Schizosaccharomyces pombe: one gene and its partners. Changing the gene in region 2 together with the main gene of any one other region gives a genetic interaction. Each region holds a gene or a part of one and is shown on either strand. Other genes may lie near its edges. The genes, in order: ura5, set1, pht1 and clr3.

Region 1 (7,593 bases), on a different chromosome or scaffold from region 2:
TCCGTTGCGCTTGCAATGAGCATAATTGCTCAACGAGCTTTTCACGAGCAGCTTCGTTTTCAGCTGTAAAAAGATCAACTTCGTGTTTTGAGCTTAAAGACGAACGGTTCGTTTTAGTATCATGACCAACAAGGTTTTTGGTCTCCGAGATATCAGCTAACTCATCAGTACTCCATATTTGAGAAAAGTAAGTTACGTATTTTTTTAATTGATGAAGCTGAACTGTTTCAAGGTAATATCTAGCAGTTTTCAATGTATGCAGAAATTTTTTACACTGGTGAATCAAATCCTCCCGCTGATTTACCAAGTAGTTCTCGTCATTATTGGTACGTTCATTCCATAATCTTTGGCAAGTTTCAGTTTCCCGAACTGTTTGCTCCAACGCCTCCATTGCCAAATTATAGGTTAGTTGTTTTTCAGCAAGAGATGCTTCATGGCATTTTGAAAGTTCGCTCAGCTGAGTGAAGACATTGGGAAGGGTTTGGTGAGTAAGTTTATTAGAAAAGTAAGAAATAGGTTTTTTGGACGATAAGTGGTCATCAAGTGATTGCGGATATTTTAAGTTATCTATCAAATTATCCTCGATTTTGGAATTTAAGGGGGAATCATCATTTTCGGGAAAAGACATGTCTTTCGAAGACAAAAAATCTGTTGGGTATTGGCCCTGATTATTTGGTATGGAGGATGATGCATAAAAGGATAATAATAATCTCGCGCATTTCTTTGCACCATTTCTAGCGCAGATCAAAAGAGCGGTATCCCCATGATCATCCTGAAGGTTTATAATTTGGGCAGCGACATCAACGGATTGTGTTGCAGTTAAATTTTGCAATAAGATATCCATATAATAACGAGCGGCTTCCATCTTTGATTTAGAAGAAGCTAATAATGCGATGTGGTGAAAGACGGTTTGGCCAAAAGAGTCGTTCATGCAGATAGCAGATTGAAGCAACTCCGAAACTACCTCAAAAGTCTGTAAATCATAGTTCATGGTAAACATTACACAGCGCATCAAAGATGTTTGTTGAAGGTAATTGACAGCAACTACGTTGGCGCCTGCTTGCAATAGTGCATGCATCATTTCCAAATTTCCCATTGCAGCAGCCCAATGAAGTGCTGTATGACCATCCTCATCAATGCCAGCATTAACATCCCAATCTGATGGCCGATCATATACGAAATCAGGAGGTTGTGTAGTATTTGGTAATAAAAAGTAATCCAAGAGAGACTGCGCATAATTGTTTGAAGAAAACGGAGAAGCTTTGATATCGTGCAAAGATCCCGTAAAGGAATCAGAAGGCATATCGGGAGAGCGCGTGAAATCAGATTGAAGAGACAAAGCATCATGGATTCCTGACATTCTAGAAGTAGATGTCATATTATTGGAAGATGTGTAAGGGTAGAGTAAAGAATGCGAAGGCCGGGAAAATGACTTTTTTACTGGACTGTTTCGTCGATATGCTTCTGTAGGCTTACGATTGCTCTGAGGAGTGAACGTAGACATTGGCATGAACGCAGAGCCAGAGTATTCAATCAGAGGTTGTATTAAATCAAAAACATTATATTCATGAGCAAGTTCAACAGCTCTTTCAGAGGGTACCCAAGTTCCTGAATGAATAGTTAGTAACAGGCATCCAAAAAAGTATAAATTGATAAATAAAAACAACAGAGACAAAAATTTTATGTTATTTAAGTAGTTTTAAACCTATTGATATAGTAAGAAGTTAACACAAACCTTGATATTTTCCACAACCACCTTGAATTTTTTCATGAAGTCCCTTTTGAGCGAATTTCTCCAGAATCCTTGTCCTCCTGGGTTTATCGAGCTCTGCAATTTTAAGGATTTGCGTGGCATTAAGCCAGTTATCATGACAACGTTTCATTAAAGGAAAGCCATTGATCGTATACTCAAATACTTCCACTCCTGAATAGGTGATTTTATGTATTTGGTCGTTATACATAACGGCACTATTGGCAAGCAATTTAAAAAAAAGGAAGGAAGGAAGAGCTTCAAAACTTGATGCAATAACAACGTTTCGTCTCTCTAAATGTTTGTAATAATTTAATGTCTCAACTCCACAGCGCCAGCTATTAATATCATATAAAAAAAAAAACGAAGCAAATGAGAAAGAAGAAGCAAATTGAAATTTCCTCTACAAAATATCGATAGTTTTTGAAAACCGAGTATTTATAGCAGATAAAGTCGGAAATACATATGATACTAACTGCATGCACTAAAGAAAGGATATATTCTCTCAGCGGCGTTTGCCTCAAAGATTTTTTCAATTAAAAAGTATTTAACTCTATGTTTTGAGTTAAAAACAGATGTTTTTAAAGACCTCTGCTATCCCTAAAAATCCACGTATCTTACCAGCTGATGTAAGATACTCAACTACCAAGAACTTTAATATGTAAGGACAGAAACCTTTCGAAACTTTCCAGATCACGATTTGTATAATTTAAATCAAAAAGCTGTAGATTTGGGTTTATCGACTACGGAGCCGATTTAGTCCGGATTTTTTCAACAGCGAGATCTCAGAAAAATCGAAAAACACTGCTTCTTACTCACCAAAAAAATCCCTAAAATCACAGTAAAGTGCTTCAGGAAATGCGGATCCTTTTTTTGATAAAAAGGAAATTTGCTTGCTTTTTTAAGATCTCACACAAACAGAACTAAATCTTTCACCCTCTCTTATGGTGAGTTAGTGGTAAACGATAAATACTTGAAGGTTACATATTAGTAACTCAATTATTGTACCATTCGATTCCACTATGTTAAACCAATTGTATTACATAAATGATAAAGAATTTCATTGTTCAACTCGAGTTTTTCTAATAAACCATTTTTATTTATAGACTGCAGTGACTACTTATTCAAATTCACATTGAATATGAGAATAAAAACATTCCAAAATTTCTTAACATTTTCTTGTCATAATAAAAAGTTAATCACCAGGCTTCTGTTTAAAGGTTTTACCATTATTTAATATTTGGTATTTCAAACACAGAGCATAAATACCCGTCGCAGAATTGAAAAATAAAATCCTAAATTTTTTATAATTGCCCATTATATGCGTCTTTCGAACGTAAATAATCATCACTAAAAACCAAATCCTACAAATTTTTACAAAAATAATACACAAATACCATTTTGTGAAACATTAATTATCCCTCAACTCAATATTTTGGTAGCTTCATTCCTAACTGTCATCTTGGAAAGATTCGAATAACACAAAAGAAGAAACAAACACAAAAAAAACAGATTCACGGAACTAATCAAAAGATAGATGGATATGTGCAAAACAAAAGCTTAACAAGTAAACCAATTTCCTTCGTCTATTATAGAGAAATTTTTGAATACCGCTAAATGCAATCGCTTTATAGAAAATTCCTTCTAATATGAGTTGTATCTATCACCACAAATATACAGATAAAAAAATTCTATAACATATGTAAATACCAACTAACTTCACTCTCTTTAAAAAAGCAAAGCTAAAAACCAAAAAAGATACTTATCCAATTATTCTCTTTCCTCCTTCCAAATTTTTAAAAGAAACATTACCATAAGCTCATTTGGCTTGGTACTGCTGTCTGTAAGCATCCATTGCCTTTGATTCAGCTGCAGTTAAGTCTGATTTGGTAAAGTCAACAATGTCGTCCAAAGTAAGGATGGAGGAAACGGGTAAGTTAAGCTCCTTCTTCAATCTACCAATGGTACTTTCGTTTACTTCGGGGTCCAGTCGCTCTTGGCGGTCAAGCAAAAGGACGATACCAGCCAATTTTACGTGCTTAGGTTCTAAGAAGGAAATTGCTTCACGAATGGCAGTTCCAGCGGTAATAACATCATCCAAAAGTAAAACCTTTTTACCTTCCATTTCGGCGCCTACAAGGTTACCTCCTTCACCATGGGACTTGGCCTCTTTGCGGTTATAGGCAAATCCATAGCTCTTTCCAGTTTTTTCATAAAGTTTGACGGCCGTTATAGCAGCCAAAGAGATACCCTTATAAGCAGGACCAAATATGACATCAAAATCAACGTTCATAGCGATAATAGTCTCGGCATAGGCTTCTGCAAGAGCGCATAAATCGGCACCATGAGTGAAATTACCAGAATTGAAGAAGTATGGAGATTTTCTGCCTGATTTTAAGGTGAAAGTTCCAAACTTCAAAACATTATGTTCTAAGGCACGACGCAACAACTCAAGTTTATAAGACATGTTTACTACTAGTTTTGTTGATAAACGTTGATACTCACAAAAGAAAAAAGCTAGTATCACCTTTTCTAAGCTCTACATGGGGGTTATGTGGGGGAATAAACAAAAATCATAACTAAAGAAAAATGCAAGTTTGTAGGCAAACTACTCAATCTATAATCTAATGTGCAAAAGAGAATTAATGTCCTATCAAAATGGACTTTTTTCCTTTTATTAAAAAGTTTGACAAGTGCTTTTGAAGAAGCGAAATAATCTTGTCTCTGATAAAGTGCAATCGTTAACTTCCACTCAATTCAACCATGTTGGCTGAATTTTATCAATAACGCTCATATACTGGTTCACTCGATCCAAATTTCTGACATGTGAGTCTCCAGTCCAGAAAAGTTTCCAAGGTGTTTTGCTTGACTTTAAGGAGCCTACACTTCTTTCAAAGTACCATTTATTGACTGGATTAGTCAGGCGAGAGCGCCATATCAACTCTTTGGGAAATAAATCAGTCATAACATTAAACATAACATCAGATATTGCTGCTGAACCCTGGGCTCCTTGTGAGACGGCAAGCTTATCAAGATAAGGGACCTTTTCATTCGTTGTTCCATCTGGTTGTTCATAAGTTACAATGGCTGTCCCTAAATAGTCCCCTGCAATAATGACTGCAGCTAGCGAATTCTTCAACCTATCTAAATATGCGTCCATATCAAGCGTTCGCTTAAAGGAGTCATTAATTAAAACCCAAAGCCTTTCCCACGAAACGGAGCCATCAGTTAGACATTTCGGACCTAGGAATGTATATACCGGTACACCGCTACGCAAAACAGTTGTTTTCGTAATAGGAGATCGATCGCGCGGCAAGGAACATGAAATAATAGAGCGATCCGTCAAAACATTGTGAATTAACGGATTTTTGTCTAAGACAGGATTTGTAAGCATAGCATCCTCAGGCGTAGTGATTAGAGCAGAGGCATCATCCGGTAACATTTTCAAACAGCGTCTTACCAAAATCAAATTTTTTCTATGATAAGGTGGAAGTGTTTTCGCTAACTCGTCAAACTCTTGAGCCAGATTGATGAGAACATGACTAGAACCAGTTTGTCGTTTAGAACATGGCATGCCACCATTTTTATCAAGAATGACGATTCGGTCTACCCAAAACCCAAAGTTTGGCTTGTGTAACGAGTAAGTTAAACCAGCAAGAACCTCATTACCATCAATTGGAACCTCAATGACGTTGGGCATTAAAATCGAGCTTGGCACTATGACCGTGTAAAGTGAAGACAGCGCTTGAAAAATACCTTGCACATTCTCAACACTAGGGCCTTCAGGGCCCAATTGACATACAGAGGAGTAGCTAGGACGGGTTAACACTCCCGCTTTCGAAAAAATTTCCGAAACTCGAATGACTCTATTTTGCTGTTGCTGTAGCTCCTCAAAGATTGAAAGTTTACGTTTTTTCGCTACGACCGTACCATTCTCCAAATATTTAAAAGGAGATGTCATGCCAATTGGATTGGAAGTGGGAACAATCACTGATTGAATCCCTAAACGTGCCAGGCTATTTATACTTCGACCAATTCCATATAGGGTATTATCACTTAAAGAATCCACATCATCAATTTTGGTAATAGAAATTCTGTTTAAAAACGAACTCGATATTGGCTGAGCGAAGGATTTCTTGTTGGGAGAGCCATCCTTAAGCGAAGAATGTTTTTGCAAAAACCCTTTCGTAGACCTACGAGATTGGACTGATTTCAATATCCAAATAAGGTCTTGTGACAATGAAGGTTTTTGCATTCAAAATTATTACCTTAAAACGAGAAATATAAAAATTTGACAATCATATACCGATGACCTAAGAGCAAGATGTGATTTAGATGAGGGTGACTATTATGAGTCCGAAACCCACCACACAAAAAATTATGCTGTAAGGAATAACAACCAATAAATGCTATAAACGAACTCCAAAATAGAAAAACAAAACTTTAAATAAAAAAAGACATTAAGCCCAAAAACGGTACTATTGATAGGCATTTTTGTACTGTTCGTTGGTGATAGAGATGGCCTTACCAAGGGAACTTGAAATTTCATTCTCACCAGAGGAAATGGAATTTTTAGCTGGCAATGAGTATATTAACATTGTTCCTTCAGAAACAATGGATCAATTGCCGCTAGTTAGCGCGACGATTCCCATTATGAAGCCTCCCAAAAAATGTCGGGTTCCTTTATGGTTGGCTCTTGAGCTAAAAAAGCAAAATTTGGCAAGGATTGTACCTCCGGAATGGATGGAAATAGGCAAACTTGAAAACATACGAGATGATGAATTGGAAAACGAGACATTCTCAGAGTTGCCTTTTCGGTGGCTAGAAACGGCGCATTTATTGTTAAACTTCTGTGCTGATGATATCGAGGATGTTGAGGATATCAGGAGGATTTTGCTGGACATTCGAGAAGCTAGACAAAGTAAAGCAAGAACGGGATTGGAAGCCATTAATGAAGTTCAACTAACTTTGGATAATTTGGGTGCAATGGAAATTAACGAAATACGTCCTATATTTCGAGAGGTGATGGACAGAATGCGCAAAATTGTTCAAGTTTCCCAAGAAGAATGAGTTACTCATCAAAAGTAAAGTGGGAAATAAATGGACTTCACATGAGAATATTTCGGTATCGTGTGGATGATGTACTTTAAAAATAATGATAATGAATCCTACGAAGTGTTTATGAATACCAACTTTGTAGTAGTGAAATTTTATCACAGTAAGCAGTAGATGAGGGTTTCACACTTGCGACTTTGAACTCGATTTGGAAACGGTGGTGCTTTTTGATGAAGAAGAAGAGGAGGATGCCACCGTTTTTGTAGGTTGTCTAGCGGACTTTTGGGAGGAAAGCTCGTCTAGATTATAAAATTCTTTTATTTTTCTGAAATAGTAATTAGCAATTAGTGTTTCCAGTAGTACGTATGGCAAAGTAAAATTTGATATTACACTTACGTTCTCCACGGTGTGGCAGACACATTGCAGGAAAGATGGTTCTTTAGATCGCGCAGATGCATATTTCGTTGAGCGCGAGGAATAGCGGCGATACGCATTTCTCCTCGCATACGAATTGTTGAAGCAAGTAAACTAGCGTTTGAGCGCAAACGTCGTACTTTATCGGAAACTGAAAAATACCCGTTAACACTTTACTACTTCCAGGTACAAAAACTTACGTTCAAATGCTAAATTTTCAAGTATATCGTTCTTGTGTTCTTGGAGAATTCGCTGTCGTACTTGACGATGTTTCGTCTCTCCAAGCTCTTCCACTCTTTTACGCTTGTTCATCATTAAGCATTATAAATTATCAAAAAACAAAACAGATGTTTGCTAACAGCTGATCAAAAGAC
Region 2 (9,922 bases):
AAGAAAAGTGAACTGCGTGCTCAAAAACGGGGTTCTTCTGGAGAAGGCAAAGGGAATAAGTGAAACTGACTTTCGCTTTCCTAAATTGAAAAAAAAAAGTATTTTAAAATAATTACCATTTTTCTACTAAGGCTAGAAGAAAGAGTTTTGACAATGTATTTATAAACACCATTTGACTTTGCCTGTTTCAAATTTCTGATACATTTCTTTCCTTCGATGTTAATTAGTTATGTGAAAAAGCTTTGAGTGGCTGAAAGCAAAAGGGATTTACAAGGGCACGTCTTTTATAAACGGGTATTTTGGACTGAGTAATAAATAAGGGTTTTTGTGTATAACAAGTGTCATGGACTATTGTCATGATTTTGGAACAAAATCTACACCGTCTTGTGTTTTGTAGTATTATTTTTTTCTCGTAAATAACATGTTATATTTACATAATCTATCTGCTTATATGTAGCTTGTTCATTCAGAAGGATTTTAGTACCTTTAGATACTGAAAGTAGTATATAGAGCTATTCTCTACCACTCCAACGCTCAAGCAATTGACAACATCCAAACTTGTCCAAAGTAAAGAAAATTTAGTGTCAAAATGTTTTCTTGGAGTATTTTATTTATAGTTTGCTTTTCTTTAGTATCAGCATTTAAAGATACTTCGCCGATTTTCTTATTTTCTACGAACTCGTATGTCCTGCATCCATCGATGGCATTATACTGTGTAAATTATTTAATCTAACTAAAAACAGCAAACTCCCCAAATCATCCGATGATTCTTCAATATCCACTTGCCCTATGATGTTTTTTGACGCCGCAATTGAGGCACTTTCGACATGCAATACAGCTACCTTAATTATACATCAACCAGGCCTTGAGGTTAATGATTTTCAGTTGGGAGCTTTTAAACATTTAAAGCGTGTTTCTTTGCAATCACCCTATAGCTTACTTCTTCCTTATTCCAAGGAGTCTTTGGACTCACAAGAGTTGGTGCATTCGGCAAAGCAAAACTGCGACGTTGAGGTAGTTTACTTGGGTGGATCCTTTAATGCTTTTCCTCCTCTTCAAAATGATCGCATAACTGTTGTTTACATGAATGAACTGTCAAATGAAAGTTATCATAGAAGTGCACAATTAATGGAATTGGATGAAATGTTCTACAACTTACAATCTACCTTGGAACAAGATGCTCAGTGGAATGTAATTATAGCCTCTTCTCCTTTGAATAACTCAGATTTTGAAGGATTTAAGGTTGATGCTAACGAAGAAGAGGCCAATGCTGAATTTGTAATTCAAACGCTAGGTGGTCTCAACTCAGGGAAGAGTGCTCTTCAACACGGCCAATTGGCTTCTTTACCTGATCAAAATGAGGGATCACAAACCACGCTTGCTATGCACCAAACAAGGAAGCACCCTGTCACCGACAATGGTGCGACGGGACTGTTTACCGAATATCAATTTTTTACTCCTGGTTTGTACATGGGTTATTTGGCATTGGCTGTATTGGTTCCAACTTTGTTTATTTCTTGCCGTTTACTTTCCTCTATTCAAATCAGCTATCACGCTTTTGATAGTCCTCGACGCAAACAGTTATAAACCTCTTCTTAAGGTGAATAAGCTGAAGAAGTTTCAATTTATTTCTTTCTTTCATAATTGATACATCTCACACTTAATTTAGAAGAAAATTATTGTCATAAATGGTTCTTGATAAGTATAGTTTGGTGACATTTTTACCTTTCAGCGCAATTCCTTAGGTGTCCAAATGGTTAGAATGATCTTTGTTTTTTAATATATTGAAGTCTATTAAATAGTTTTTTGGACTGAAGAATTTATTTCTTGTGATGAGACAAACTTTATAACCATAATATTGTTTTTTCTTTATGATGATTCTCTACGGAAGGTGAAAGTTGTTGGCATCATGTAGTCAGCATAACTTTGTTTTGCTTTTTGTATTCTATTCAATTAATATTTTTGTTTTGCGGTTTTAAAAATAGTAGATGAATTTGCTATACTTTGAATAAACTAGAGAAACCACTTTAGGCATACAGACTCAATTATGAAATTTCCTTAATTATTTAAAGCAATTTCTTCGTGGCTGATTGTTTCGTAGAATGAGTGTTTGCGAGAGTTTTTTCCTTGGATATTTTCGTTATTAGTTAACATTGTCATTACTTATGGCATGCATCTTCAAGTGATCAAAGCACAATATACCTTAACAATAAGAGTAATATGGATGCAGAAAAGTTTTGAGTATATTTCTATAATTTAGAAAGGTCAAATTCACATATAAAAGTGATTGTAAATATTTATTCATTTCAGATCTCTCTTACTTGAGATCTTTGTTACTCAAAATTGTTACTTGTCACTGGGCTATGCGTGTTTTGTGCAATGTCTCGATTCTGCCAAGTACCTAAACGTAAAGATTGATTCTTCTCCATCCATTTAGTCAGTTTCACAAGGATCTCTACAGAAAGGTGCCGTAAGCTTGAATAAAATGAGCAGAAAAGAGATTTACGAACCCCGTCCGCGCTACCCAGATGGTTATAATGGAAATCGAGCGGTCAAGAAGTCCTTGTCGGTACTTTCTTTGGACAATATGAAATCGACACTATCAGGGCTTTTTGCTCCACTTAAATTAGATGAAGAGCAGGCAGAAGATGATGAATCCCTGAGTAGTTATGAAGATTACGCGTCTAGACAGATCGATGATGATTTAAAGAAACAGAGAAAGAAAGGGATAACATTTATAGACTATTCATCTTTAATAACTTTTTTTTGTAAGCTTTGTGTTATATTTGGATTAGGGTTTGTGTTTACTTATTTGGCTGAACAAATTGTGCAAGATGCAAAGCTACCACTTCTGACGGTCAATCTCAAAAGTTGGAAATTTGAGCCCCCATGGCCTGCAATTTTTGGCTTCGTTGCTGTCATACTTGGACTCTCTTATCGACGTATGGATACGAAGTATCCTTTGGGAGCTGCCCCTTTACGCCCTTCACAATCGTCTAAATGGCAATGGATTTCTCGGTATCTTGCTGCTTTCGCTACATTGCTACTTTCTATGAAGGTAAGTTTTACATTATACGAGGCGTTCCTTTAAATAAAAAAGTGAAATATATATGCAAGATGTATGGAGTTACAGCAATTATCTATGCGTAACGACTTCTTGATATAGTTTATTCATCACCATAAATAAGTTGTGCTGTTTTCTGAGAATTTAAGTTTGATAGTAAACCCTCTTTGCCAATGCTTACTATGCATCGTGAATATACTCTTGCTAACTTATCTCTAGAAATTACTATTTATTTCGAATTCACACTCCATTGTTGCACTCGTTGCGAGTTCTGCTAGCATTTGGTATATATTTGATCGCTCAAGAAACGGTATTATTTTGTCGACAATTACTTCTGTGTTGGGGAGTATCTTATATTATAATTTGGTTGATACCTCAAAAATGTATGTTAGTTGTTATCCATCAACTGCCTACCAAAGGCTGCTCCAGTATTTTCAAACATTCGTTTATCAGCTAACAAATTTAGTGAGTTAAATGGAGTTGAATTCCCTGAAATTCAGTTTCGTTTATGGATTCCTATGATACTTTTCTCCGCTTCTACGATTGTTGGTAACGCTGGTCGTCTACTATTTTAATTTATTCTCTAGGAGTTGGTTGTTTGTGCTTTACGTTCTCTTTTTAGCCTTAGACTTCATTATCCAAAACAACCGGGTTAAACTTGTTTTGCTAAATGTTTTCCTACTTCGCATCTGGGCACTTATTTGGTTTTTCTGTATTCGATTATCCTTTTGTACCTTCTCGTCTCATTCATCGTTGTGTGCGAATCGGTTTTCTATCATGTACCAACAATCTTTTCATGTTAGTATTTTCTATTATGATTCCTAATATTCCTCATGTAGTTTATAATTATGTCTTTGTTCTAAAACATTCATCTACAAGTTTTCCTTTCTCAAGCCATTTATTCTTGCTTCTCTTCAGCAACATTGGTAGTGTAATATGCAACGGTATCTTTGGATAACGATTTTACTAAATTTCGCTATAAGAGCTACTGTGGCGCGTAATATGAATTGGCCTACCTTACACAAACATCCACAGAGATCCTATAAACTTTGTGTTTGGCCAAACGGATGTTTGACAGAGCTTTTTTACTTGTTATTAGCCTTATGAACGTATTTATTTGAAGACTGATCAAGTTTTACTTGAGTTTTTGAATATTGTTATAATTTACAAAGTAACGTCGCGCGACATACTTTTCCAATTATAAGCTGAATTACGGTTCAAATACTTTACAATAGAAAGCTCTTCATCCCGGCGATATTATTTCTTTTTACATAACGTTTTTTTTTTCATAATTTGTCAAGGCTCATTATTGGAATAAATTACACTTATCGAGTTGTTACCAAATTTTTGATTTTGATTTAGTGCACAGGTTTTTAATATCTCTTGATTTTTTTTTTTTTTTACTTTATAGCTCTTTTTTGTTTTGATCGAATGCCTGGGATTTGCTACTTGGATTCAATATTAATCAGCCATGGATTTTAATACCTCTACGCGGTCGAAATCTCAACCCGTTCAAAGGAATAATTACAAAGTTTTATACGATCCAGAATTAGGAATCAAGGAGAACCTTGGTCGCAAAATTATATATCGGTTTAATGGTGTTTCAAAACCACCTTTAGTAGTTCGCGACCCTAGACTTAAAAATCCAATATATGCCCGCGGTATTCCTAAAAGTGGAAGGCCATTTTTAAAATCTTTGCAAACTATAAATTATGACTACAATGAGAATTCATTAGGTCCAGAACCTCCAACTCAGGTTTTTGTTTCTAACATCTCACCGCTCGTGACTTCTGAACAGCTCCGATATCATTTTAAATCATTTGGGGAAGTTTTCGATTTAGACTTAAAGTTAAACCCTTATACAGGTACTTCTTTAGGGTTGTGCTGTATATCTTTTGACAAGCGTAGTTCCATTTCTGTAGCAGCACATTCAGCGAAAATTGCTGTACAACAAGCAAATGGCTTGAGGTTTTCCGGTAAGCCTCTTTCAGTAGTCCTTGATCGGGATGGTTCATTATGCGAAGAAGCGTTCAAGAAAGCTTTAAATGCTGTTGAAAAGCAATTTCAAGAAGAAACTTTACAGAAACAGAGATTCGAGCGGGAAGATGAATCTTCGCGGCAAAAGTTATCTGCAGCTATGAATGAAGATATTCCTCCTTGGCGTCAACCATCGAAAAATTCACAAACATTGAGCAATGGAGACTTGCAACATTCTAAAGTTCAGAACGTGGACCAGAAATCAGGTTTTCTTACGTCAAGCGAGACTGATGTTCCAAAAAATATTAATGATTATATTTATTTACTAATTGACGATCGCTTTGTCCCTCCAGATCGTGTGTATTATACTGATATAAAGCATCATTTTCGAAAATTTTTGTATGAAAAGATATACATGAACAAAGACGGGTTTTATATAACTTTTAATAATTATCGCGAAGCGAGCAATTGTTACCGTGCGCTGGATCGTACATACGTACAAAATTGTCGCATAAAATTGAAATTTCATGACATTCCTTCACGTACAAAGGAAGATGGAAAAAAGAGCGCAGTACGAAGAGTTGTTTTACCTCCCGAGGAAGCGTACGCTGAAGCAACCTCAGTTGTGCTTAGAGATCTTGAGGCTGCTTTGTTACGTGATGTAAAAAGTAAAATAATTGGACCGGCAATCTTCAAATATCTTCATTCAATGCCTAAGCCTTCTGTTAAGGAAGAACTACAAGAAAATTTATTGGTTTCATCTACAAGTGTTCCTGATGTTCCTTTAAAAATTGAATCAACAGTCGGAAAGCTCCCCAGTCTTCCCAAATTTAAAAAACGAGTTGATTCCAGTAAAATGAATCTTTCAGCGGGTAGTAAAACGAAGTCGAAACTTCAAAGAAGACGTAGAAGAAGGCACGAAGCTCGACCTTTACACTACCAGCTTAATCAAATGTATAACTCAAGCGCTTCTGAAGCCGAGTCTGATCAAGAACTTTTGTTATCTTCTGGAGACGAGCGTGTAGAAAGAGGGAAGATTGGCTCAATAAAGTCTGTGAAGTCTGACGAGGCGACTCCAGTTTTTTCTGATACATCTGATGAAAATGACAAATTCCATCGTTTTCGTACAAAATCTAAAATATCAAAGAAAAAATATGAAAAGATGGAAGTTGACTATACTTCGTCCAGCGAAACCGAATCAGATGCATCAATACTTTCTCCTAGTGCTGCGATTCCAAAATCAGGTAGCGCCATAAAAGATGAACTCATATCGCCTAAGAAAGAGATTGATGAAGTTTTAGCTTTAGCTCCCAAATGGCGTATTAATGAGTTTGATGAAACTGGAAGCGTTTATTATGGTGCACTTCCTTACAATTATCCAGAAGACGATGTACTTCTTGACTTGGATGGTCTACAGTACTTGGTAAAAAATGACGAAGATTACTCATATCTTCAAGAGGCACTCAAGGATGAACCCCTCATGGATATCAACGATCCCAATTTCTGGGCTTATGAACGCAAGTCATGTAAATTTAAGAATGGGGATGTTAAGTATGGAGATACGGCTATTCTTCCAGAACCTAAAGGTTATTTTCGCTCTAATACTAGCGGTTCTGCTAAAAGTGAGGGATACTATATTATTCCAACTACCGAAAAATCACTATATCTACCACTTCGTAATCGATCAACCATCGATACTATTAGTCATTCTACAAGCCGTATCACATCACGAATGAATCGTGTTAACAATAGAAGATTGGCTGCTGGAGTTGAAAAGTCTCAATTGCCAGCCGAAGCTGACTTGCTCAGATTCAATGCACTAAAGGCTCGTAAAAAGCAATTACATTTTGGCCCTAGTCGCATTCATACATTAGGGCTTTTTGCCATGGAAAACATTGATAAAAATGATATGGTCATAGAGTATATTGGAGAAATCATTCGACAACGGGTGGCTGATAATCGTGAAAAGAACTACGTTCGTGAAGGTATTGGAGACAGTTATTTGTTCCGTATTGACGAGGATGTTATCGTTGATGCTACAAAAAAGGGAAATATCGCGCGTTTCATCAATCATTCATGCGCTCCTAATTGTATAGCTAGGATTATTAGAGTTGAAGGGAAAAGAAAAATCGTAATTTATGCTGACAGGGATATTATGCATGGAGAGGAACTTACTTATGATTACAAGTTTCCGGAAGAAGCTGATAAGATTCCTTGTTTGTGTGGTGCTCCAACATGTCGTGGCTATTTAAACTAGACAATGATGCTCTTGGAGAATTGATGGTACATGAATATATGGGCAGCTGTACAATTATAATAGTTCGTTTAAAAAGCACGCATTATATCTGATGGTACACTAATGCTTTTTATTTTTTAATATAGAATAGAATCAATTTTCTGTCTTACATCGTCTGCATTTGATATTGGTTGAATATTTTGAGAGTCAGGATAAATGCGCATACCATTCAGTGGATTGCATTCAGGAGTGATTTAGAAGTAAAATGTTAAGAGATATACTGTCTTAGATATATCCATTTGCTCCACAATACTACGAAGTTCAAGTTTAAATAAACGAAAACGAAAAATAAAATTCTCTTAAAACTTGATAGCTACTGAATTTTAGGATCCAAACTTGATTTGGTATTACCTTGTTAATTTTATATGGAAGATTTATAATAATTGAAACTTCACAAAATTTGTAACAGAATAATAAACAAAAGACTTTTGACTTTGTAATCGGGAAGCCATCAATGAAGTAAATTGGGAAATACTATATTATTTGAAAACAAATTTCAAAAGAAAAATAATGTTATCATATTGGCATTTATTTAGAAACTTATTTGAATCTTTATCATTTGTTGATTAGAAAGAAATATACGGCATATCGTTAAAGCGCGATATACGTATAGGCACACCGACTTACCACTTGTGAACATAAACATTTACTTAAATCAATGAAAAGAGCTAGTTTAGGCGGGCATGCGCCCGTTAGCTTACCCTCCTTAAATGACGATGCATTAGAAAAAAAAAGAGCTAAAGAGAACAGCCGTAAGCAGCGCGAGTTGCGAAGAAGTTCAGCTCTGCACTCAATAACGCCAAGAAGAGAATCTCTAAACAATTCTTCACCATTTAATAGCTCTCATCAGGTTCCTGTTCTTTCTAATTTTGAGGAATGGATTAAATTAGCTACTGACAACAAAATTAATTCCACAAATACCTGGAATTTTGCGCTTATTGACTATTTTCACGACATGTCGCTTCTACGTGATGGTGAAGATATAAATTTCCAAAAGGCAAGCTGTACATTAGACGGATGCGTGAAAATTTATACTTCGCGTATTGATTCTGTTGCTACTGAGACCGGCAAGCTACTCAGTGGATTGGCAAACGATTCCAAAGTATTGCAGCAAACGGAAGAAGGCGAAGATGCTGAAAATGATGATGAGGATCTACAGAAAAAGAAAGAGAGAAAGCGTGCACAACGTTCGGTAAAGACTCTCGTTAAAGATTTCGAGTCAATACGCGCTAAAAAATTTGAGTTAGAATGTTCTTTTGATCCTTTATTCAAGAAAATGTGTGCAGATTTTGATGAGGATGGTGCTAAAGGCTTATTAATGAATCATCTTTGTGTTGATCAACATGGACGAATTGTATTCGATTCTAGCGATACTGTCATCAAGGATTTGGAAAATAAAGATGTTGAAGCTGAATCGCAGGAAGCGGTAGTCGCAGCGCCTATCGAAAGCCATGACACAGAAATGACTAATGTGCATGACAATATTTCTAGGGAGACCTTGAATGGTATTTACAAATGCTATTTTACCGATATTGATCAGTTGACAATATGTCCCTCCTTACAGGGCTTTGAATTTGATAGTAAAGGGAATCTTGATGTCTCTCTCTTAAAATCATTAAGTGATGAAGTTAACATGATAACGACAACCTCCTTAGTGGATAATACGATGGAGAAAACTGATGCTGATGCAGCTTCCCTTTCTTCCGATTCCGATGGTGAAGAAGGACATATTGTGCATGCTTTGGAGGAAATGGCTTACGATGAGGAGAACCCATATGTTGATGTAGTACCAAAAGCAATGGACGAATCCGAAAATCCAGATTTTGGTGTGGATACTGAAGTCAATATGGCTGATGGAAGTACTATGAATGAAAATTATTCTATTATTTCTACTGCCGCTGCGAATGGAGTATACGAATATTTTGACAAGTCAATGAAAAAGAACTGGGCTGGACCCGAACATTGGCGCATTCAGGCATTGAGAAAAAATATCAATAACGCATCAACTGTATTCAACTCTTCCAATACGGCTGAAAGTTCAGATAATGTATCGCGTTCTCTTTCTTCCACGGAACGGAAAAAGCGTCGAGAACTTGATAACGCCATTGATTTCTTGCAGGAAGTAGACGTCGAAGCACTGTTCACTCCTGCAACCAGCAGTCTCAAGCTTCCCAAGTCTCATTGGAAAAGACATAATCGATGTTTACTACCTGATGACTACCAATATGATTCTAAGAGGCTTTTACAGCTTTTCTTGAAACCAAAGATGTCAGTTCTACCCAACGCTGATGGAGAAGGACAGCTACAACTGAATAAAGCCTTAGATGATGAGAATGATTTGGACGGTATTCAACCCCATGGATTCGATTCTGATGGCAGTGATAATGTTGATGAAGGAATACCCCCGTATGGATTTGGAGATTCCGATAGCCCTAAGCAAACACCTCTGCTTACACCTCCATCATCATCAGGATTTGGTGATAACCTTTTGTTAACTGCTCGTTTGGCAAAACCAGATATGCTGAATTATGCGAAGCGTGCTAAAAAGGTTGATGTGCGAGTACTGAAAGAAAAGCTATGGAAAT
Region 3 (3,282 bases), on a different chromosome or scaffold from region 2:
GGCAATTTACAGGGCATATAAAAAACACTGACATATTGAGCTTGCCATTAAATGTGAATTTAGTAACGTTTTTAGTTCTGTTCCCTTTACTGTGTCTTTATTGTAAATATCACTTTAAATGCTTTCTTTGACTGTCAAGGGAATTATCGCCGTTCTTTTTACAAAAGCAGGCTCTGAGTGTTTAAATCTATTTTTCTTTCATTCCTGATAAAACTGAAGCCTTTTAATCTCCCTTTTTCTTACTTACTCTTATCCTTTGTTTTCCAGTTTTTTAATCCTCATTTATACTATATTCTATTTACATATTTTTTATACTTAAGTATTAAAAAAGGTGTATATTCTTTAGACTTTAGTTTTTAGTGTTCGTGTTTGCTCTGAACATATAAACTGCACTTACTTAGATGTATTTAGTATCAAAGAGGTGAATTAATTTTACGAGCAAACGGTAAAAGAACGTAAATGTGCTTATTGTTCAACAGACATACGTGTTTATTAAATTTTACAAGATGAAAGTGATATGAATATTTGTATTTCACACTATATTGAACGCTAAGCGAGCATCATTTACAGCTTAAGTCTATACCTAGAGCGTTTGGAAAAATTCAAAATTAATAAATCGTATAAACAAGAAGTAAAACTAAACAGCGCAGGAGAAACCACTAGATGCATGGATACATACTAACGATTGAACCTGGCAAAGTGTAATTGGACAGAATGAAACGAGACATATTGGAAATATAACGTCTAAAGATGAAACGCAGGACAAATTTGTTTGGAGGCTTGAGAGGAATGAAAAGGGAGCAAATACATGGAGGGAAGAGCATTTCCATTAAACTGCGCATGCACATTTTACTTTCCATGCTTTAATCATAGAAAAAGGTAACCAATTAAATAAAATAAATCCTTAGATTGTAAAAAGAAACGAAAACACAAAAATGATTAAATAATTTCTTCCTCCTCGGGATATTTTTCCTTTGTACGAATCAAGAGCTGTTTATTGATATGAGGCAATACACCACCGCCCGCAATTGTAGCACGAATTAAAGTGTCCAACTCCTCATCACCTCGAATAGCAAGTTGAAGATGTCTAGGTGTGATACGTTTGACCTTCAAATCTTTTGCCGCGTTTCCCGCAAGTTCCAAGACTTCAGCGGTCAAATATTCAAGGACTGCAGCACTATATACAGCACTTTTTGCACCGACGCGCATATTATTTTGAGTTTTTGCCTTTAAAAAGCGTCGAACACGTCCAACAGGAAATTGTAAACCAGCGCGAGCTGAATGCGACATTTGACCGCGTTCGCCGATTTTAGAACCTCCCTTACCTCCAACATGTTTACCTTTACCGCCTCCAGACATCATTTTGAATCGATTATTGCAATTGCAAAAAGCGAATGTTTTGTGTGTTAGGGAGAAGGCAGATTCGTGAACGCGAGGTGCGTGTCTTAATATCATAAAGCCGCGTACAGAGGGGCTGTACCTTTAAACATCAAGTTTTCGAATTTCTAACAACAGAGGATAAATTTATAGAATATTGACAAAGGATGAAACGTTTTTTTAATGTATAAAAAAATCAGCTAAATTCTTGAAACGTCTCATATTTGCATACTCTCATATTGTGGGTTTAATATTCATAGATGTAAGTTTATAAATACCCTTATATAATTTATTTAATCAAAAACTTATTTGATCCTTAGGTTTTCGCCTTTTCTTGAACATCCATAGGTGTATGGAGGCCAAACACCTTTGTACTAGTTTACTCAAACTTTTGGGTGCACTGCGGTATGTCGTACATTGTTAAGCATTATAAGAAATGGTTACAGTATTCGTTAATTGCTCTTACGTAGATACGGTACATGTCGTCAGTTTATTTACATCAAGAAAACCAGAGAATGCCTAACTTATTGACATGTTAACATTTGTAGTCAAATAACTGAAGGGTCGGTGCCTAATAATCTGTATAGCAAATGATTCAAATAGTTTTTTACTTTAGAGCTATATTAGTTTGTTCATGCTTTTTGCCTGATTGCAGGTTGTAGTTCTACTAAACTATATTCAACCATTTATCTTGAACAAAATCCTATGTCAACAAAAGACTTTTAAATAAATAAACTGCACTATTATTTAATTGTTATTGTCGAAAGCGATCAGTAACAGCAGATTAAGAAACTACTTTTTGACCAGCCAACTTGTCGAGTATTAAAACTAGCATTAGTATATATAATTTAATAAATACATTCCGACGATACTGCCTCTATGGCTTAGTGGTACAGCATCGCACTTGTAATGCGAAGATCCTTGGTTCGATTCCGAGTGGAGGCATATACATTATATTATATTCTTTTTCATGCGGAAAAAAGATTTCAAATTTTTGGGTATGATATTAATATGACTGTAACGTTAATAGCAAAGTGAGTGTTAATAATGATAAAATAGCAGCAAAATCTCTTTTCCGAGTAAGACGTTTTCCAGTCTAAATTTGGAGTCTGCAGTTGTTTCGCAATTCTTAATGTATGGTTATACTAAATACAAACTTTAAAGCTCTGATTTATGTTTGCAATAAACTAAAATAAAAGCACAAAAACCTTTACCCATTAATTTCAAACAACTTATAAACTACCGGTAAACTTTTTTTCTAACCTTTATAATTTATAAACTAGAATGTTTAATGTCTACGGCCATACCTAGGCGAAAACACCAGTTCCCGTCCGATCACTGCAGTTAAGCGTCTGAGGGCCTCGTTAGTACTATGGTTGGAGACAACATGGGAATCCGGGGTGCTGTAGGCTATTTTTTTATATCCGTCTTTCTTACTACTTGCCTAACAAGTCATGATGTACTCTCAAAATATGTTTGCATGCCTTGTAATATTGGTTATGGATAGCTCCTTCTGGACTTGATCTTTTGTAGCCAAGAACAATGGGTATAGACTCTGACCTTGTGATGTTGTAGCCACAGATTATAATAGGTATTTTCAAGTACAGTAACAAAAATCTTCTAGTTTTTTTTTAGAAAGGATACACCAAGTATAAGCAAATTCAGGAATTGTTGATTAAACTGTCAACTTCGGTAAAACTTTGGGCATAAGTAGTGTGGGAGCAAGTTTAACTAAAATTCTATTCAGATGTCGAATCCAAACCGCTAATTTTGCTCAACTAGCTTTTCATAAAAACCAATTCATAGTTTCATACTAATAAAGACGATTGTTTACTTTAAAACATACGTCGTAAGAACATATATTGCTTTATCGAAAGATAACAAATGTTAAGCTATTATATTATT
Region 4 (8,632 bases), on a different chromosome or scaffold from region 2:
CCCTTATAGTCCAAGATGACGAAGAGAACCAAAAAGGTCGGCGTTACCGGTAAATATGGCGTTCGTTATGGTGCATCTTTGCGTCGTGATGTTCGTAAGATCGAGGTTCAACAGCACTCCCGTTACCAATGCCCCTTCTGCGGACGTAACACTGTAAAGCGTACTGCTGCTGGTAAGTATTGTTTAGCTGATACTTTGGTTTGGCACGCATAATATGCCTCCAGTATCATGCAAGTCGTACGATAAAGAGCGATTTACTAACTATGAAATAGGCATCTGGTGCTGCAACGGTAAGGGCTGCAAAAAGGTTTTGGCTGGAGGTGCATGGACTGTCACCACTGCTGCTGCTACTAGTGCTCGCTCCACCATTCGTCGTCTCCGTGAGATGGTTGAGGTCTAAAAAATCATGACCAATCTATTGAGCATCTTTACATTTGTTAATAGAGGTGTAATTACGTTCACGTCCTATTTATTTTCTGTAATTAGTAGTAAATTTGTAAGGGTAGCAATTTTTTGTAGGATGGTGTATAAACTTTAGTTGCATGTTAGTAAAAAATTGTACGAATTTGAACAGCATGTATATTGGTGCTGCACTTCGTGGGAAGTGGAAGTACCTTGCTTTTCCATACGAATGCTAATAACAAAATAAGACTACTGAGTTGTCGGTTAGAATAATAGAGATAATTTTTTTTATTTTTTTTGCTTCAGCTAAATCCGTCATGCGCGTAGATAACAATAGTAAAGCTGTTAAGGTCATATCTGCCAGCTTCAGGATTGCAATTTATCAACATAATATATCATTTGTAAAAAAAGTCTTTTTTAATCCAAAATTCTTTAAAATTAACTACCAACATTTTCAAGGTACATTTTGTATACGTTTGAGGTATTTTATAGCAATGGAAAACACTTGACTGGTTAGATTTACGTTTACAAACACTGAATCTTGAAATCCTCAGCTAAAGGAATATTTTATGCAAATTCAACTACTTCGATATATTTGATAAAATGATACACTATGTAATATATATACTCTTATTTTCTTCAGGCGTTTAATAAGGGTTGTATGGTGTAATGGTTAGCACGTGAGATTCTGATTCTCGAGACCTGGGTTCGATTCCCAGTACGACCTGTTTTTTCGTTCCTAAACTACTACTCAGCTTTCTTTTTGGCTTTATTTATCATTTTTCTGCTTGCTTTTAAATGTAAGCATTGGATTGTGAGTAAATATAAAGTATTAAGGAACATTTAACTTTGAGCATTACTCCAGGTCGTATATTTCAGATACCTATGTTAATTAAGATGACGAGAATATGGATATACTGGATTCTAAATATTTAATTGAATCTACTTTAAACAAAGTAGGTTTCAAATTTATTTTATTTGTAATTTAAGTCACTCACCTTCAACATACACAAACTAGATGGTCCTACTACAAGCAATTCAACACATTGTTTTTATACTTATATTAATTATTTTTATTCCATAATTTATTTAAGTGTTGTTTCTATTTCAATCACTTTTTCACTATACTGTCTGTGAAAATAGTAATTTATAAAAAATAATAGTTACTTTTGCTTATTGCTATAAAGTCGTACAAGGAGAAAATAATTTAAATAAAGCAAGACACAAATTCAACTACAAAGTTCCATCTATGGCACATTTACGAGTTCTACATACAATATTACGTTTAATTCATTGAATACATTCATAAAATAATAGCATTATACACTTGCCTTTGAACCTGCTTGAATTGAATATACTCGCAATTAATTATTTTTATTATATTTAAAATATTAGAGGCATATTTTCAATTGAATTTTTAAAGGAATAAAAGACAGCTTGAAGTTTGAAACAGCACAAAAATATAGGCAGCATTTAATTCACTTCACAATTGGGTTGTTTAAATATAATTCCATGCATGTGAAATGTCAATAGTTGATATAGAGATCATATTATATAATAGTATAATAATAACAAAATTTACCTAGCATTCGAACGGTTGTATGGTGTAATGGTTAGCACGTGAGATTTTGATTCTCGAGACCTGGGTTCGATTCCCAGTACGACCTTTATAACCGTTCCTTTTTACATTTTTGCTAAAATTAGATTCAAATGATACTTTGGGTAATTACTTGTCTGTAATAACCAAAGTAAGATGGTATTGAGCAGCTTCAAATAAAATGCAGTTGTGCTACGACAAGAGAGTAATCTTCTAGGCAAGGGAGATTACAAGATTTCTACCAGTTGCTAACACCTTGACTTGTGAGTTATTGCGCAAATGTTTAGTGCTATATATAATATAGGATCAAGTCGTTTTATTAAAAAAAAAAAAAGCCAGCCTTCCTTAATAGTAAAGTTGCTACATTTACAATTACTGTTGACCGGTTATCATTCATGCAATTTGGATTAGTTAAAAAAGTTGAACATCACAGAATCATCCATCATTCATGAAGGTCGTACTGGGAATCGAACCCAGGTCTCGAGAATCAGAATCTCACGTGCTAACCATTACACCATACAACCAAATCAATTTTTTTGTGTGATATAGTTATTAATATTGGAGAATAAGAAAACAATTTAAATGCTGTTTGTACTATGAATCTAATTTTACAATTTAAACAACATACTATAATATTATCCTTTTGCGGTACAAAAAATGGATGAGGGATTTCCCTCAGCTTTAGAGAAATGCTTTTAAGCAAAATTACGACAAAAATCAACAATAGTTGTTTGAACTAAAATAATATCACGGATTTGAGGAGCTTTATTTTATAAAACAATATTATAACCTTATTTATTTAATTATATTGAACATGAATAAAATGAAGCCAGCAATAACAATAAACCATTTGTGTATACATTCTACTGGAAAATAAAGTCAAAATCCACCAACCTTGAGAATAATGAGCTCGAATTAAAGTATAAGTAAAAGAGACAAAGCAGCTTAGCAGATTGAGTACGAATCATTCAGCGGGTTTGGCAAATCATGAATGTCCGTTATAAATTTTAACGTAGATAACTTAAGGAGGTTAAATGTGTGACAATTAAAAGAATAGAAAACCATGAAAAAATCATAAGTCAATAACGAATGTTACTGAGAAGTTGGTCGGGCCTTTTGAAGCAAATGCAGCAAGTATTGAGTAACCGCTCGATAGTGTTGCTCCATCATGTCCGAAGTTTCAGTATGTTCACTTTGCATAAGTCGTCCATATCTTCTTTTAGCACGCTTTGCCTTTTTCCAGCACTCATTACTAGAACTCACAAACACGAGTGAATGACGATAATACCACGTTGGAAGATCTTCCTCTGATGCCGTTTTAAGACCCACCAAAGGTTCAGTGCCAAGGAAATTCACCATACACTTAACTCTGTCTGACACATTCCTGGAAGATGCCAAATTAACCAATCCATGTACCGCTTTGCCTCCACCGATGAAAAAAATATTTTTTGAAATCGACAACTCAACATAATTATCCCATACATAAAGACAAAGTTCTTTCACTTCAGAAAGAATGTCAACCGGTGCATTTTCACCGTCCGTAACCACTTCAGGTATATTTATGTCGATAAGCCCCCAGTCCTGTTGCATAGCCCATTCAACATAAAGGCTCACGGGATCTACTAAAAGCGAATCATTTAAATTCAAAACGTTCGTTTCACTAGTTCCATTACCCAGGACTCTAGGAGATTCATGGACAATAACGAGAAGGTTATCTTTTTGAAAGAAATTGCTAGAGCACAGTACTTGATTGTTGAATACATTGGAAACGGAATCCCTTAGTATTGGCATATTGGTAATTTTCCAGTCTTCGAAAAGTTTTTTAGCTTGATAAGTTCGAATAACATCATGTAATCGATCTACATGGGCATCCTTAGGATTTGCGTCGAAGTGTTTCGGCCTCATACATCTCCAGTATTGGGATTGTATTTTGGTTACATGGTTGATGGTAGCAACGGCCTGTGGACATGCATATGTTGTATGCAATCGTCCAGGAGGAATTCCCAACAAACTTTGGGCTACAGCTAAGGCTGATGTGCTTATAGAATCCAAATTATAACCTCCCTCAAGGGAGATAAAAACTTTCCCATCTGCTAATCCCATTAACATTTGTGTCATATGAGCATAGGCAGCTGGAGTTAACAAGAATTGACCAATGTGATCTCCTGCAGCAGCATCAAAGCCGCAACTTACAATAACTAAATCTGGATCAAATTCATAAGCAACAGGCATTACGACGCGCTGAAAAGCGTATATATAATCACCATCTCCCATGCCAGCACAACTCCAAGGAATATTTACAGTTCTACCCAATCCCGGGCCCTCTCCACAATTTTCTGCACACCCATAATTGGTGCCAGGATAGAAACGACCATTTTCATATCGATGCAAAGAAACGTATAGAACATTTGGATCGTCATAAAAAGCCATTTGCGTACCATTTCCATGGTGTATATCCCAGTCGACAATCAATACTCTTTTTATTTTATCCGGAAAGCGTTGTAGCATACTCCTTGCGGTTACAGAAACATTGTTGAATAAACAAAAGCCACCAGGTTTATGGGGTTCTGCATGATGGCCAGGAGGGCGAACAACTGCGAAGGCATTTTTTACTTGACCAGTTACGACAGCCGTACATGTTTCAATTGCGCTACCACAAGCCAATCGAGCACAAAACGCACTTTCGTTATTATAGTATAGAGAATCACTGATTTTTTCGAGATTGGCCAAATCCTCATGAGACATTTTTTCGGTATTAGTAACCCTATCATACATTTCCTGTGAATGAACTTGTAATAACTCTTCTAAAGTAGCTTCTCTAGCCGGAATCCGTAAAAATACATCTGACGGACTCGGCACATTAGATACATAACCGGCCTTCTTTATAGCTTCAAAAACACGAAGGACGCGTCTTGGATCTTCAGGATGGTCATCCACTTCACTTAGAGTGGCATGGAATCTCATTCGAGGATCATAGCATAATCCAGATTTTTTCAAGATTTGCGACATTTCATGGGATTCGTTATTTAATGTATTTTCACTTCCAGACATTGGTTTATTGTTTGTCAAAAGAATAGACCATGGAGTTACCGTGTTTACAGCATCATCGGATGGTTTTACAGAAGTAGATGCACCATCAGAATTAGAGGCCAGCATTCGTTTTCTATCGCCCTTAAAAAGGTCAATCAATTAATAAATTAATAAAAAAATCTCCTATTAAACAACTCCCTCATAAAACTGTCGAAACACTTTTTGAAGCGCGGCTCACTCGATATAGGTAGTTTTGGTCGTCAAAACTGTTGCTGGTACTTCTAAGACATAAGTATAGAGGAGCAATGAGAGAATATAATCTCAACCATGCTAACAAAGGAGTTTGTTTGGTAAAGAATAAAAATGTAAGTAATTAAGACGTTTAGTAAGGCTTTAAATAGAAGATTGATCCTGAACGTATGGAGATTGAGAAAAAATAGAGTTTGTAATGAGGCTCATGGGAGGGTCTTATTTTTATTTATTTATTTATTTTATTTTCTTAGAAACTTAAAAATAGCTTTGTCTCGAGCCATACTTCGAAATGAATGCATAATTTTGCGAGTTCGCGAATTTCCATTATCTTATATAATAATCATTTCAAATCATAAGGATCAAGATGTAGGAAGAACGTTAATAAATACATGGTAAATAATGTTTCTATGATCTTTAAGACTGTTGTACGCCCGGAAACATTCACCCTTTGTCATAAACATCATTAAGCATTATCACAATTTGGCTTGTACATATCAAGCATTTAAACATATAGAGGGTTAATAGCTCATCAACCATAGGACTGGAGACGGATAGCAAGAAATAACAAAACTTCTCAAACGAGATTTTTCCAAAAATTCTTCAGCAGGATGTGAACAATCAATCTATTCATCCAAATTATAGATTAACTCTCATGAAATAATTATGTAATTTTATATCTTAATGCTCGTATACCATCTAAAATGAAGGATGTTATGGTTTTTTCGAAGGCATAGAATTCACCAACGTAAGCATAACTTCAGCTGCCTTGCAATCATCTGCCGATAGGGGATAAGCCGTTGGAAAAGGAAGACTCGTGGACTTGCGAATTCTACTGAGGTTTGCAGTGCCAAGGCGAAGAGACTCATCGGTTTCTTCAGGGCGTGAAATATGGTAATTCATTCCGAACAGTGGAGATTTAGCTGAAGCAGTGGAGGCATGGCTAAGTTCAAATGGCAGTCTGGGTAGCTCAGTATGAGGCTCAACGTAGTTCAACCAAGGAGGACTAGTTCTATCAAAAGACGAGGACGTAGAAGAAACAGCACTAGAAGATGAGTAAGGAGATACAGGCTTCTTATAAGGAAGCTGAGCGAAGCCCTCTCTTGGGCTCACCAATCGCGTAAATGAACTTGCACGCAGCTTGCCTGTATTCGATCCCATAATTGAGTTGGGGTGATGCGGCCTTCTTAGCTTAGAAGAGTCCAAGTCATTGATCGAGCGTGATCTACGATGAACGTGATTTTCCTTACGAACAAGCGTTTCCACTTGATCTAATGTCTGATCTTCCCATCCATGATCGACCTTAAAAAACGCTGCCTTCAAACGAGCCCTAAGTTTGTTTGATAACTTGTATTCAAAAGTTAATGACAATTCGCAACGATTTTTATGCTAAACCAAAATTATTCATCGACGATTCTATTTGTATCGTCGAGATGTTACCTAATTGTGTTTGCGTAATTGACATACCTTGCTTAATGATTCATCGTATTTTTGTTGAATAACTTCATCAGTCTGCCTTGTAGCTTCATTTTTCTTGTGGCCGCCTGCCATGAATTAATATTTGTTGAGTTCGTCTGTATGCAGGTATATAAAAATGACGAGTTATTAGCCTATTCGAATTCTCCTTTCGATAAATTCCTTTTATAATATCCAATTGCAATCAAATAATCCTCCGTATAGCATATAATTGTTTCAATTGAAACAAGACGCGTTGAACGATGTGTTGGTAAGTCGAAAGTCGCGCCTGCCCGTACAAACGATTGAAAAAAGCAACAGGCAGAACACCAGAATTATCAAGTAACAAAACACTCTACCATACAAACAATAAAAACATAAGATTATCAGCCAAAGTTACATGAATATACTGATGTCGGTTATATGCAATTTACTTGGTACCTTTGTCTTTTTGTAAACACCGTTTTCGTCGATGAGAAGTTGCAAATAGACCAAAAAAATTGCATTCAGAAACATAGATATATTCTCCCAATTATTTGGTTACATGACCTTATAGTTGATACAAATCATTCACAAGAGAGACAAAGCTCAAATGCAAACTGTACACAGAAAATAATAAACACATTTTATTTATAAAATATTAAACCCATTAAATTCCCAAAATGTATATGTAGTTGTAAAAGTTCGTCTATGACGCACCAGTACAAACTCAATAAAACAGAAAGAATACGCATTTTTAAAAATCTAATTTTTTGATCTTTTCCCTGAACCAGAAGAATTACCATCCTGTCTCAATCTCTTCCCATGTTGAGCAAACCATTCAGCTTTTTCTTCCCGCTTCTTCTCAATATATGCTTGCTCCTCTTTTTGCATCCTTTTATGATACCGCTCATGTTCTGCTGCTTTCTTTGCTTTACGTTTCGCTTCCTTGTCCGTGTGCAAAGTCATTACTTTTTGAAGCAAATCCCTTACCTTCCGTTCTTCTGCATTCAACAAAACTGTACGTTTTTGCATGTACGTCGGTTTGCTTCTAGGACGTAAGGCTTTTTGACGAGAATTAAATGGAAGCTGAGCTTGAAGCGAGGCAGGCACTTTGAGAGGATTAAAATGTCGAGAGGGTCGAACAATCTCCTGGTACTGAGAATTGGGTCGTAAAGGAGTTTTCAATCCCAATTCATGCCGAACTTCTCCTGTTAACCGCATACCGTTCCATTCCGTTTTATCCGTCTCAAGTAAATTGGTGACCATTGTACAGAATTTTCGCACTTGTACCGGATACCATGCCCGCAAAAATACAATGTCACTCATTAAAATTTTGTCTTCAAATGTAGCACGGAAATGTCCATGTTCCTGATCAACTGCCTTTTTAACCTGACCTCGAATCCCTGAAACAGTCCTGATATTGGCACCTTCAAATTTTGCAACTTCTAAAGGACTACTAAACATTTTCTTAATAAATGCTGTGTTTTTAAATATTTTGTAGGGAACACCAGTCAATTTTAATTTTTTAACAATATCGGTCGATTGATCGATATTCAATACTGAGCCCGTAGCTGCAATTCGGAAGCTACCCGCCTTTGCGAACGAATTGGCTACAGATTGGACCGCACAAAAACCGCTGTTGGGAGCGACGAAGGGTCCATAAAAGGTACCGAAACAATGCATGTGTTCTGGAGTATATTTCAACATCCTATTTCGAGTACGCGAGTCACTAATTGAATATACAGGTATCGACTGAAATCTTCTCCAACCCATACTAAAAATCAGAGGATCATTCGTTTTAAGTATTTTTTTGTGCCAACGGTGACGCTTAATACGAACTTGAACTAATCCATACCGTTGCTCATTAGGTAGTAATCCACCAACAACTACGGGATAGCGAGAATCAAAGTGCTCAAC

What was found.
Region 1: mutations in set1 (region 2) and ura5 together harm fitness less than expected from each alone (positive genetic interaction), as found in Schizosaccharomyces pombe (2 studies listed by BioGRID).
Region 3: mutations in set1 (region 2) and pht1 together harm fitness more than expected from each alone (negative genetic interaction), as found in Schizosaccharomyces pombe (2 studies listed by BioGRID).
Region 4: mutations in set1 (region 2) and clr3 together harm fitness more than expected from each alone (negative genetic interaction), as found in Schizosaccharomyces pombe (3 studies listed by BioGRID, with this or other methods).

Annotation. Positions count from the first base shown.
Region 1 is NC_003423.3:1,227,703-1,235,295, reverse strand, and holds ura5 (orotate phosphoribosyltransferase Ura5), read right to left. Parts: upstream 4,254-7,593; 5' UTR 4,218-4,253; coding exon 3,570-4,217; 3' UTR 2,938-3,569; downstream 1-2,937. Other genes in the region: MBF transcription factor complex subunit Res1, read right to left, coding at 1-1,608, 1,736-1,961; acetylglutamate synthase Arg6, read right to left, coding at 4,503-6,005; GINS complex subunit Psf2, read left to right, coding at 6,269-6,820; nbl1 (borealin N terminal domain-containing protein), read right to left, coding at 6,989-7,130, 7,202-7,370, 7,420-7,534. UniProt on the Schizosaccharomyces pombe protein: Catalyzes the transfer of a ribosyl phosphate group from 5-phosphoribose 1-diphosphate to orotate, leading to the formation of orotidine monophosphate (OMP).
Region 2 is NC_003421.2:410,141-420,062, reverse strand, and holds set1 (histone H3-K4 methyltransferase Set1), read left to right. Parts: upstream 1-4,115; 5' UTR 4,116-4,535; coding exon 4,536-7,298; 3' UTR 7,299-7,770; downstream 7,771-9,922. Other genes in the region: SPOM_SPCC306.07C (U3 snoRNP-associated Cic1/Utp30 family protein), read left to right, coding at 1-63; family protein BIG1, read left to right, coding at 590-681, 744-1,587; ins1 (INSIG domain protein), read left to right, coding at 2,486-3,058, 3,284-3,447, 3,531-3,639; condensin complex non-SMC subunit Cnd2, read left to right, coding at 7,996-9,922. UniProt on the Schizosaccharomyces pombe protein: Catalytic component of the COMPASS (Set1C) complex that specifically mono-, di- and trimethylates histone H3 to form H3K4me1/2/3. Binds RNA which might negatively affect its histone methyltransferase activity.
Region 3 is NC_003423.3:1,501,703-1,504,984, forward strand, and holds pht1 (histone H2A.Z-like protein Pht1), read right to left. Parts: upstream 1,743-3,282; 5' UTR 1,360-1,742; coding exon 940-1,359; 3' UTR 501-939; downstream 1-500. UniProt on the Schizosaccharomyces pombe protein: Variant histone H2A which can replace H2A in some nucleosomes. Nucleosomes wrap and compact DNA into chromatin, limiting DNA accessibility to the cellular machineries which require DNA as a template.
Region 4 is NC_003423.3:251,345-259,976, reverse strand, and holds clr3 (class 2 histone deacetylase Clr3), read right to left. Parts: upstream 5,292-8,632; 5' UTR 5,156-5,291; coding exon 3,092-5,155; 3' UTR 2,839-3,091; downstream 1-2,838. Other genes in the region: rpl4301 (60S ribosomal protein eL43), read left to right, coding at 16-172, 273-400; cell cycle transcriptional repressor Whi5, read right to left, coding at 5,993-6,667, 6,746-6,829; GTP-binding protein Bms1, read right to left, coding at 7,478-8,632. UniProt on the Schizosaccharomyces pombe protein: Responsible for the deacetylation of lysine residues on the N-terminal part of the core histones (H2A, H2B, H3 and H4).